2 linked regions of the Drosophila melanogaster genome follow. The protein of the gene in region 1 interacts with the protein of each later gene in a pairwise test. Each region holds a gene or a part of one and is shown in the gene's direction. Other genes may lie near its edges. The genes, in order: Mccc1 and CG5577.

Region 1 (5,875 bases):
TTGACTTTGCAGCCGTTGCTTCACCGGCGACAATATATTTGTTGAGAGTGGATTGCTTCTTGCCGTCAGGTTTTTTAATCTTAGCGGGAGAATAACGTGGCATTTTGCCAATGAAAATTGTGGAGAAGTTTACGCCAGGGTCCGTCACGTACTGCTTGTATGCCTCTGGCTTGGGTCGAAGAAGTCCATCCACCCGCGATACATTGCTCTTTATAAACATACTCAGGTTTTCCAGGTTAAACTCCATGCGCGAGCGACGTAATTGCCTAAAGGGCAGATCAAGCTCTGCACTGGGATCGCCCTTGTTTGGTCGTAGTCTGTAGACCAGGTTGTCCGTGTCCTCATAGATACCATTGAGTGGTTCCGGCATATTTTTGTCCAACTTGACACCCAACACCGTGTACGTGGCGTTCTTCTTAGCTTGCACCGACACCTCCTCGCCGATAAAGTAGCGCTTGCGCAGAAACTTGGCCACTATCATGTTCAAGGTGTTGACCGCCGACTGTTGGGCGTGCTCCACAACCAGAAGGACGGGTGCCCGAAGGCTCTGTTTGAACTGCTCCATCTTCTTGCGAGCCGCCCGCTCACTTTTGACCGCCTCCTCGTAGGTGAGGTTCTCCTTGCCGGTGGCCTCGCACTGCCACACCGTTGAGTTGATCACCATCACGTGCCGGAAGTAGTGTCTGGATAAATAAATTTAATCGATCAGCGTTTTAAGGTCAATTTATTTTGATATAATTGAAGCTTGTCAGAGTAAAACATATTTAGTATGTTTGCTATTTATTAAAATAGTTTCGCGCTACCCAGCCTCTTAAATAATTGCTGATCTTAAAAATATCTAGAAGGATCATATAAGTCGAATTGGGTCAACAAATTCCAAATTCAAGAGCGCGCGCTTTGGCACCAGGTGGCAACTCCGCGGCGAGCAGCTGTGCGGCGGCAGCTGTAATTTCTTCCCGCCACCGAACAGCGTTTTTTTCGCCTTTGGCCCACGAGACTCGCACACTTATGCACCCCTGCGAACACACACACACACACACTGAATGGTGATGTACGGTACATCGTGTGCAAATGCTTTTGCAGCGTCGCTTTTGTTGTATACTTTAGCGCAGCGTCCACCTAATGGCAGGAGAAGGGAAGGGGCAGTTGCAGGAATGGTAGCAGGATGCACTTACTCATAGTCGCGAAAAATGCGCTTAGTGATGTAGCAGCAGAAGACCTGGTCGTTGTCGTGGAATGTTTCGTTCTTGCCCTCCTTCTGATTCAGGTCGAATCCTTCCCGCTTGCAAATGGGCATGTTTGGTGTTTTCCTTTTGCTCTTGAATGTCCTTAAGTTTAAATGGCAGTCCTTCGAAGTGCACGTTTAACAGTTCACAATAAAAACAACCGCGGAGCAACTGATAAATTTTACAACGCCAAGCGACAAGCGCAAAAGGCGCCCAACTTTTCACGCCTTTCCGGAGGGGCTTTCGATGCAAACGGTTTTCCAGCGATACGCGCGTTGACTTCCGACGCAATTATACAAGCTGTCGGCGGGCGACACTTTTCCGACAATTTCTACTATGTTTGTGGCTGGCTTCCTCAACACCAACTACCTAAATCCGTTTATTTTATAGCGCACAATCTATTTTCACGCGCATATTTTGGGGCCTATCGCTCTTCGACGTTAAACTATCGGTTATCGAGTTTCTGCGAACAATGTTACCGAACTTCACGAGCGCAGAAAACCGTAAGGACGCGGTCGGATGGATGTCAACAGTTCGATAAATAGTCCAGAATAATATAACGGTAATATTTTTTATGGGTTGCAACTTAAAAAAAACACAATATACGTAATATCAATTTCCCTAAAAGATATTGATGATATATGATAATCCCCAAAAGATATATGAAACATTAATATTTTCAACCATGCATCTCGTGAGTCGCCCATCTCAATTGCGATCTTGTGCGTGTGCGTTTTTCCAGCTGTGATAAGCGACGATCGCACACTTGCTCTGAATAAAGTATATTTGTTATTTATTCTTACAATTAATTCTACTAATAATGTACGCCAGACTGCTGCGAAACTTCGGCGCAAACGCCAGGTGAGGGAAATGATCGGCAGTTCTTTGTTAAGGCCGCTAAATCAAAAGACTTAATTTCGTTCTTGACGATTACATAAACCTTGCTAATTTGTTTTGGCTTGACGCAGGTGCTTTGCAACAGAAGCCAGCCCAAAAGTTCGGCCTATCAGCAAGATCCTTATTTCAAATCGTGGTGAGATCGCATGCAGGGTGATTCGAACCGCACGCAAGCTGGGAGTTCGTACCGTGGCCGTGTTCTCGGATCCGGACGAGAAGAGCATGCACACGCAGTTGGCAGACGAGTCGTACCGCGTGGGGGAAGCTGCCTCCTCGGCTTCCTATCTTCGCGGTGAACGCATCCTGGACATAGCCAAGCGTTCGGGCGCCCAGGCCATCCACCCAGGCTACGGCTTCCTCTCCGAGTCCGTCGAGTTTGCCGAGTTGTGCCAGCGTGAGGGCATCATCTTCATGGGTCCGCCCAGTTCCGCCATCCGGGACATGGGGATTAAGAGCACCAGCAAGGCCATAATGGCCGCTGCTGGGGTGCCGATCATCAATGGATACCATGGCGATGATCAGTCAGATGAGTGTTTGCAGCGAGAAGCCGACAAAATTGGCTTTCCCTTGATGATTAAAGCCGTCCGCGGCGGCGGAGGCAAAGGCATGAGAATCGCAGAAAAACCGGACGACTTCCTCACCGCTCTGAACTCAGCTCGCACCGAGTCCGAGAAGTCGTTTGGCGACAGCTCTGTGCTTCTGGAGCGGTACGTCCGATCTCCACGCCACGTAGAGGTTCAAGTATTTGCGGATCAGTATGGTGATGCTGTCTATCTGTGGGAAAGAGATTGCTCCGTGCAAAGACGTCATCAAAAGATTATTGAAGAGGCGCCAGCTGTAAGTGCACAAGAGCTTCGGCTATTTTAAAAATAATGCTCATTTATACAACAGCCAGGTTTGTCGGAAGATTTGCGTCGTGAGCTGGGCGAGGCTGCTGTTCGTGCAGCGAAAGCTGTGGGCTACGTAGGAGCTGGCACCGTGGAGTTCATTCTAGACAAAGAAGATCTCTCTTTCCACTTCATGGAAATGAATACCCGCCTGCAGGTGGAGCATCCTATAACGGAAATGATTACGGGCACCGATTTGGTTGAATGGCAGATTCGCATTGCCGCCGGTGAGCCATTACCCCTGAAGCAATCTGAGATTACGCGGCGTGGCCACGCATTTGAAGCTCGCATTTATGCAGAAAATCCTCGCGGAGGCTTTCTGCCCGGAGCCGGACCCCTGCGATATTTGTCTACTCCCCAACCATCAAACAACGTTCGCGTGGAGACGGGTGTCCGAGAAGGAGATGAGGTGTCTGTGCACTACGACCCCATGATTGCCAAGCTAGTCGTTTGGGGCGAAAACCGCACACAAGCGCTTAACTCATTGGTTGCCCGCCTGGGTGAATATCATGTGAGAACATTAAAAATTTGTACCTTTAAGACATTTCCCTAAAGGTAAACCAATTTTAGATATCTGGTCTGGACACTAACATTAATTTCCTCATCGACCTTGCGTCGCATCCTGAGTTTCAGCTGGCCAATGTGCACACTGGCTTTATCGATGAGCAGTTCGATACTCTATTTCCGCCAATTATCATCAGTCCGCAGCAAGTCAGCCAAGCTGCTTTGGCGCTAGTCTTAAACGAGTTGCAGGCAGCCTTTAGGAACGGAAACAAAGATCAGGATCCATTTGTTGCCACCCCTAACGCTCGTCTGAATTACTCTTTGGTTCGCAGATATGACTTGAAAGCCAATGAGAAGGGTAAACCACATATATAAATTTAAAATCAAATTGGTAAGCTTATTTAATCTTTCAGTCTATTCTGTGGCTGTCAAGTTTGATGGCGAGGATATGCAAATTCAGGTGGATAATGGCGACTGGCAGGATGCAAAGGTCGAAAGAGTTCAGGATGGAAGTCGTCTAAAAATTCGTGCCAATATCAATAGCAACGTCACCACATATAATGCTAGTATTGATGGCACTAGTGTCTCTTTGTTTTCGGAAGTAAGAATCTACTTTTCAATTGATAACATTTTGTATTTTGTATTTAATTGATTCCCTTTTCCAGAGTGGCAAGGTCGATTTTGAGGTGGGACAGCCGAAATTCTTAAGTGCCCAGGGCGATCAATTGGGTGCAGTTGGGTCTCGCATAGTGGCTCCCATGCCCGGGATTTTAGAGAAGGTGCTGGTAAAGCCCGGTGACAAGGTCAAGAAGGGCGAAAACTTGGCAGTGCTTATTGGTAAAAAAAATATAAATTTAGATTATACATAGTTTTAAAAACAGTTTTGCATTTTAGCCATGAAAATGGAACACATTCTAAAAGCTCCAAAGGACGCCACCATTAAGTCTATTGGAGGAGCCGCGGGCGATAACGTTGCTAAGGGAGCGGCCGTGATTACATTCGTCGACGAGGAAGTAGAAAAGTAACGGAATATGTTTCGAAACGTACCAGAGAGTTGTTGCATTTACAAACAAAATTATATTTTAAATATTAACTAGCCTGCTTTTGGTTCAGGGATCACGAAGTGCATTTATTATCGTTAAGTAAAAAAGTGTCCATCTAATGGAATTTTCTTATCTTTAACCCATTAAACGTCTAAAACTGTTAGCCATGAATTGTTTTTGTGGGTAAGTAAGGAAGCCAAAAGTAATGGTTTTAAAAAGTGATTTATTTGTTTCATTTTCGCTGAATTTAATGGATGTAACGAACATTAATTTCCCAAATGTAATACATCTTTGTGAATACATAATTTAAAATTGAGTTCCGTACAAAATCTCGCGGCATAAAAGTTAGACTTTGAGTTGATTGCTGTCGGTAAACGGAAACGGAAATGGAAACTGAGAGAAGGCATGAATGACATTGCGCGCTTTGCTTTCTCTTCGCATTTATTTCGCAACTTAGAACATAAAAATGTAATAAATGTTTAACAAATTTCACTTAATACAAAACACTAATCATTTAAAATATATGTACTTATGACCATAATCAAGTTTTCTTTATGCTCGTGTTGCTTTAGTCCATTCTGCTCTTGAGTTTATACTGTTTTGTTTTAATTAGCATCCCATTAAATCGGTTCATGCCGTTGAAATATGATTATGGAAACAGTTTCAGAGGCGAGTACTGAGTACTAAAGATGCAATTTGGTTTCTTGCCCTAATTCTTACAATCAGCCGATTCGTTTCGATTAGTTTTTCCTAGTATCGTATCTAAGTGTCCATCATTTTGATTTTTTTCGGTTAGTATAGTAAGTGTTGCTCGGCTTCAATACGTAATACATCATTTATATACTATATAAATACAATTATATGGTACTGTAAACGTGCAACTTAACGCTTCTTATAGATTATGAGTGTGTTTCTTTCTGCCTACGTCCGTTTCTGTGTAGTGTTGTGGGAGTTAGTTTAAGGTGTTCTTTTCATTTTTTTTTTTTAGATTTATACATTAAAAGGGACACATTTACAATGAGGAGAAATAAACATATCCCTTTTAATGCTTAACAAAACAGAAAACCAAACAAAAAATTGGTGTATTTGTTTATTATTAAAGGTAATTATAAAGTTCGATAGCTAATAAACACCTTTGCTGGTTTTGATCTCCTTATCTACCAGACTTTCGTTCCTTGACTCGCATCGCTCCAACCAAGTATCCTTTGTTAATATCTACGGATTCTGCTCTTTTTCTCGTATTTACCCATTAAGTCTCGTTTTCGACGGTGGGGATCCCCACTAGTAAACACCTGTCCACACCGTTCTCATTGTCAGG
Region 2 (5,198 bases), on another chromosome or scaffold:
CTCCTGGAATTATCCTCCGCCAAGGTGACCGAGTGGCTAGCAGGCTTCGACAGTGTAATAACCGACTGCGATGGTAAGTCGGTGGTGGGGATGAGATACTACTAACTCGCACCCACCCAGGATTCCCCCCAGGAAGTTGCGTTACATAAAGATATGTGTATACCACATTCTGCCCAAATACGTCAGCAGCCAATAGTTTCTGTATTGTGGCTGCGTCGTTTATTTCAATGTCAAAGAGTGAAGTGCGTGATATGGCGGGAAGTCGACTTTCGGATGCCCTCATATCTTGTTAATCATCGTTATATTTAGTAAAGAGTAAAGCAGTAAAGAGCCGTTTGATAAATTCCCTAATGCTCATAGTGATGAGCCCTAAGTTTATTAATATTAGACAATCTTATCAATTCAAGGAAATCGTTATTATATACGCAATATCAAAAGTTGTGTTCAACCCCATTATTTATTAATTTTATGCAATAATGCCTTCTTTAATCATAACAGCTTTTATTTCTTTTCGTTTATGTATCTTTGCGAAGTTACCAATTTACTTAATTGGAATTAATTTCAAACTGTCCTCTTTGCCTTTGAATGATTAATTTATCAATTTTAGAAATAAATTACCAACAATATGAGTATACTTTTTGTAGATATTGAGAAATCAATAACGCCCTTTATAAAACTAGCAATGGCATTAATAAAACTAACAACTACAAAGTGAGAACCTATTTAGCACCGTTCTTTTTTTAATTTTAAGAAAATTCTTCTACAATATTAATCCATTTTTTCACATCAGGTGTCCTTTGGATCTATGGCCAGGCCCTGGAGGGCTCTGTGGATGTGATGAACCAGTTGAAGGGTATGGGAAAGTCGATCTACTTTTGCACTAACAACTCGACGAAGACCCGGTCGGAACTTCTCAAGAAAGGCGTCGAACTGGGCTTTCATATCAAGGAGAATGGCATTATATCAACGGCCCATGCCACAGCTGCGTACCTGAAACGACGGAACTTCAGCAAGCGGGTATTTGTGATCGGAAGCGAGGGAATCACCAAGGAACTGGACGCCGTGGGCATTCAGCACACTGAGGTGGGCCCGGAACCCATGAAGGGATCGCTGGCCGAGTTCATGGCACAGCATTTAAAACTGGACACGGACATCGGAGCCGTGGTCGTTGGCTTCGACGAACACTTCAGTTTTCCCAAGATGATGAAGGCCGCTTCCTACCTAAACGACCCGGAGTGTCTGTTCGTGGCTACCAATACGGATGAGCGTTTCCCCATGCCCAATATGATAGTACCAGGCAGCGGGAGCTTCGTGCGGGCCATTCAAACCTGTGCGGAGCGGGATCCTGTAGTGATCGGGAAGCCGAATCCTGCCATTTGTGAGTCTCTGGTCACGGAGAAGAAGATCGATCCATCGAGAACTCTGATGATCGGAGATCGAGCCAATACGGACATACTTCTTGGGTTCAATTGCGGCTTCCAGACCCTGCTTGTAGGTTCCGGAATCCATCAGCTGAAGGACGTGGAGCGTTGGAAGTTGAGCCAGGATCCCGAGGAGAAGAAGCTCATACCAGACGTGTACCTGCCCAAGTTGGGAGATCTGTTGCCGTCGATCGTGAACAGCCTGACGGACTTGAAATGAATCAGTAATCAGTAAATAGTACGGACATGTGTTTGTATAGATTTTACATTTAACTTCAATAGACAGGAAAGATTATTAATACTTAACGCAAATTTATAGTGCAATTTATACCACAGAACAAAGAATATTTAAATAAATTCAAAAGCATTTTGTGAGACGGATGATTTAACCGATATGCCCGACTCAATTTGTTTTTCCGAGCGAGCTTTGTGCGAAAGGGAGATAGCAGATTTTCCCCAATCACCGTGAATCGAAATCAGCCAGCCCGTCGCCGTCGATTTAGTTGAGTCGCAAGCATTTGGCGAAGCGGTCTACGAAGCAAAATGTCCAGAGGCGGTGCTATCGACTTGACCGGCCTATCCGAGGAGCAGGTGAGCGAGTGGCTCCAAAGTTTCGACACGGTTCTCTGCGACGGCGACGGTGAGTCTCAAGGGCGGCTAAGGTGCCACAGAGAGAGGGTTCATTGGGCTTGTGAGTGCTGCTATGGAGCTTTTACCAGAGTTGTCGCTTCACTGAAAAAACAGAGTATAAAATATCGATGGTAATTTACATGGGTAAGGGGAAAAGCTTGGCGATCGCGGTAGCTAAAAGTTTACATTTCATCGGCCTGCTACATCGATTGTTACTGTTATTCATTTTGTAAGTGGATAACTTTAAACGTAAAATCGTTAATAATTAGAAAAAGTTGATAAGGCTTAACGCTGCTGAAATCATTTTACATTTTTAGGAATATATTTATACCTGATCAATAGGAATATGTTTATACCTGAAAATCTCTCTGATCTCTCGCAGATCATTCCAATTTAATGTATAAATTTCCCATGTACTATTGGGCTTACCAAACAGAAATTTCGTTCGTAATTATTTTAAAATAAAGCCAAAACTCGTGTTAATTCCAATATTATTTAGTTACTTTATAAAATATATCTCTCATTTCAAACCTCTTCAAATGACACCAAATCAAATATCCATTAAACGCACAGGCACCATATGGCAGGATGACACGGCCATCGCTGGTGCTCCGGATGTGGTGAATGCCCTGCAGGATCGATTTGACAAAAAAGTTTACCTGATTACCAACAATGGCCTAAAGACGCGACAGGAGCTCTTTGAGCGCTCCCAGCGCCTTGGCTTCCATTTACCCAGCGACCGACACATCATTTCGCCCACGGCGGCCATCGCCGACTATCTGGTTGGGAGTCCGAAGTTCGACAGGACCCGGCACAAGGTCTATGTGGTGGGCAATGCGGCCATTGCGCGGGAATTAAGGCAGCGCGGAATCGACAGCTACGGAGCCGGCGGAACAGATGAACTGCCTCCGGGCGACAAATGGCCGGACTTTGTGACACGCGAGTTTGGGAACCCAGAGGCGGCGAAGGACGTGGGTGCCGTGGTGGTCGGCTGGGATGAGTACTTTAGCTACTGCAAGATGGCGCGCGCCTGTCACATCCTCTGCAGTAATCCCGACGCCGCCTTTTTGGTCACCAACCGGGATGCCGTGCACAAGTATCCATCCTTTTGTATCCCCGGCACTGGGGCCTTTGTGGCCGGAATCGAGGCATGTTCGGAGCGTGAAGCCCTCGAGATGGGCAAGCCAAATCCATTGGTCCTTGAGCCCTTTATCAAGGCCGAGGGACTACGTACCGAGCGAACGCTTATGATTGGTGACTGGTATGCGGGATTAACACATCCTTTCAATCTTTCCTAATGAGTTTCTCCCGTAGCCTCAAAATAGATGTCGGTTTCGCCAGCAATTGTGGCATGCTATCGCTTCTGGTGGGCACGGGTCGTTACAATAATCTCTCGGATGTCCGGCTGGAAAAAGACAGGCTGCCCCAGCCAGACTTTTATCTGCCCCGTCTGGGCGATCTGCTGAACATTTTGTGAGCCATAAATCCATGGGACTCTCGCGCAGCAATCTACTCGTTATCAACTTCTTAATTCGACTTTTATTTGGCCTTAGTTGATGTGTTTACACATAGTTGTACATATTGTATCTGCCGGCAAGTACAATAACATTCTCTGATGGATACTTTTTTTACATATATAGAGTGGTTGAGAAATTGCTGGGTCTGAAAGTTATCCATGAACAAAACTAGCTAATAAATTTTGGAAAGACGACAATGCATATTGCACAAATAAATCACTAACCATTTGCGAATATTCATTTTTATGTCCGTCCCCAAATAATTTTCAGGCCCAATAACTTTTCTTTGAATTAACAATATAGGCTGAGTGACTTATTAAAATACTAGCTTAACCTTCTATTACTTGCCGGGTCAGAAAAGCAGAGACGGCAATTTCTTACTCGTTCCTATATCTTGGTGATCCCATGTAAAAGTTGTAATTTGCAATGAACTAAACAAATTGCTTAAATAAGTGCAAGTTCCTTGTGCTGTGACTTGCAAATCAATTATCAATCAACGTTAACTATTTAAGACACACACATAATCGAAACTATACAACTTATTGGTTAGCTGTACAACAAATTTACAGGACACCCATCGATGTGAGCTGCTAATTGTCAAAACAAAGCAAGCAAGTATCACAGAAGTTATATTTTTGGCGGTTTGCTTCCGTGTAAAATTGAAACAATCAAACACCTGTTTTCGAAAGTTTTTTACGATATTTTGACTGTTGAAGCACGACATTTTCGTGAGTGTCCGTTTTAACAAGTCCTCTGATATGTTAGAGTTGAGTTCTGTTTTCTGTACTTTAGCAATTTAGCGCGAAAAGAAATCCCATAAAGCGGTGTCACATTTGGTAGCAAATCAGAATAAGAGCGTAACTGAATCTGAAAAGTTAAACCCATCCCCTGCTTTTCCCAATCCCCCAACTGATTTTCCCCCCACGCCTTGTCTTAAGCTGATTTTAAACGATGCATGTGCAAAGATTTTATAGAATCGCAGTGTTTAAATTCCGCGACTCTGCGTATGCATCGCTTTCCATCAGCTTTAGTTGTAAGTTTGCCGCCGGCGATCGCTTAATGATTTCTTCGAGGACCCTGTCTAAATTGCTAAAAGGTAACATCAGGTGCTCGCATCCGGCGTGTTGGCCAAAATCCTTGAGCTCCTCGACAAGTAGCCGTACCAGTAGAACACGTTGATAAGGATGAATAGCAGTGGGAAGACGATCCTCGAGGCGCGATCGATCTTCGACACGGAATTGTACTGTGGCGTTCGTTTGCCCTTCCTTCGGGCCTCCATCTCCTCGCGTCGATAGTAGGACATCCTGCGGCGACCTCCAGTTGGAGGACTAATCCGAGCAGCCTGTGCAGCAGCTTGTGCCGCCGCAGCTGCCGCAGACGTGGTCGGTGCTTCGTTGGCCCTTAGCTGCGTCTGCTCGTCATCCTCATCCTCGTCGGAGTCGGCACGTGGCGGCTTTCTTCTTCGCCGCCAGTCGAAGAGACCCAGAAGCTTCATACTCCACAGACCATGACGCCTGTTCCGGGGCCTCCGATTCCTGGAGGTTAGCATGCCCAGCCGAGTGGGAGGCGGCGGCATGCTAATAGCGCACATGGACAGCGGAATGACTTCGTAGATCTTGGACTCTGTGCT

Evidence for each region.
Region 2: the proteins of Mccc1 (region 1) and CG5577 interact in a two-hybrid assay, tested with the Drosophila melanogaster proteins (one large-scale study listed by BioGRID).

What each region holds. Positions count from the first base shown.
Region 1 is NT_033777.3:31,789,790-31,795,664, reverse strand, and holds Mccc1 (Methylcrotonoyl-CoA carboxylase 1), read left to right. Parts: upstream 1-1,757; 5' UTR 1,758-2,046; coding exon 2,047-2,087; intron 2,088-2,194; coding exon 2,195-2,960; intron 2,961-3,014; coding exon 3,015-3,521; intron 3,522-3,580; coding exon 3,581-3,872; intron 3,873-3,927; coding exon 3,928-4,115; intron 4,116-4,179; coding exon 4,180-4,351; intron 4,352-4,408; coding exon 4,409-4,539; 3' UTR 4,540-5,073; downstream 5,074-5,875. Other genes in the region: Acf (ATP-dependent chromatin assembly factor large subunit), read right to left, coding at 1-683, 1,176-1,297.
Region 2 is NT_037436.4:17,838,150-17,843,347, reverse strand, and holds CG5577 (uncharacterized protein), read left to right. Parts: upstream 1-1,920; 5' UTR 1,921-1,964; coding exon 1,965-2,061; intron 2,062-2,624; coding exon 2,625-3,312; intron 3,313-3,365; coding exon 3,366-3,528; 3' UTR 3,529-4,670; downstream 4,671-5,198. Other genes in the region: CG5567 (uncharacterized protein), read left to right, coding at 1-73, 791-1,641; Grd (glycine receptor), read right to left, coding at 4,671-5,198.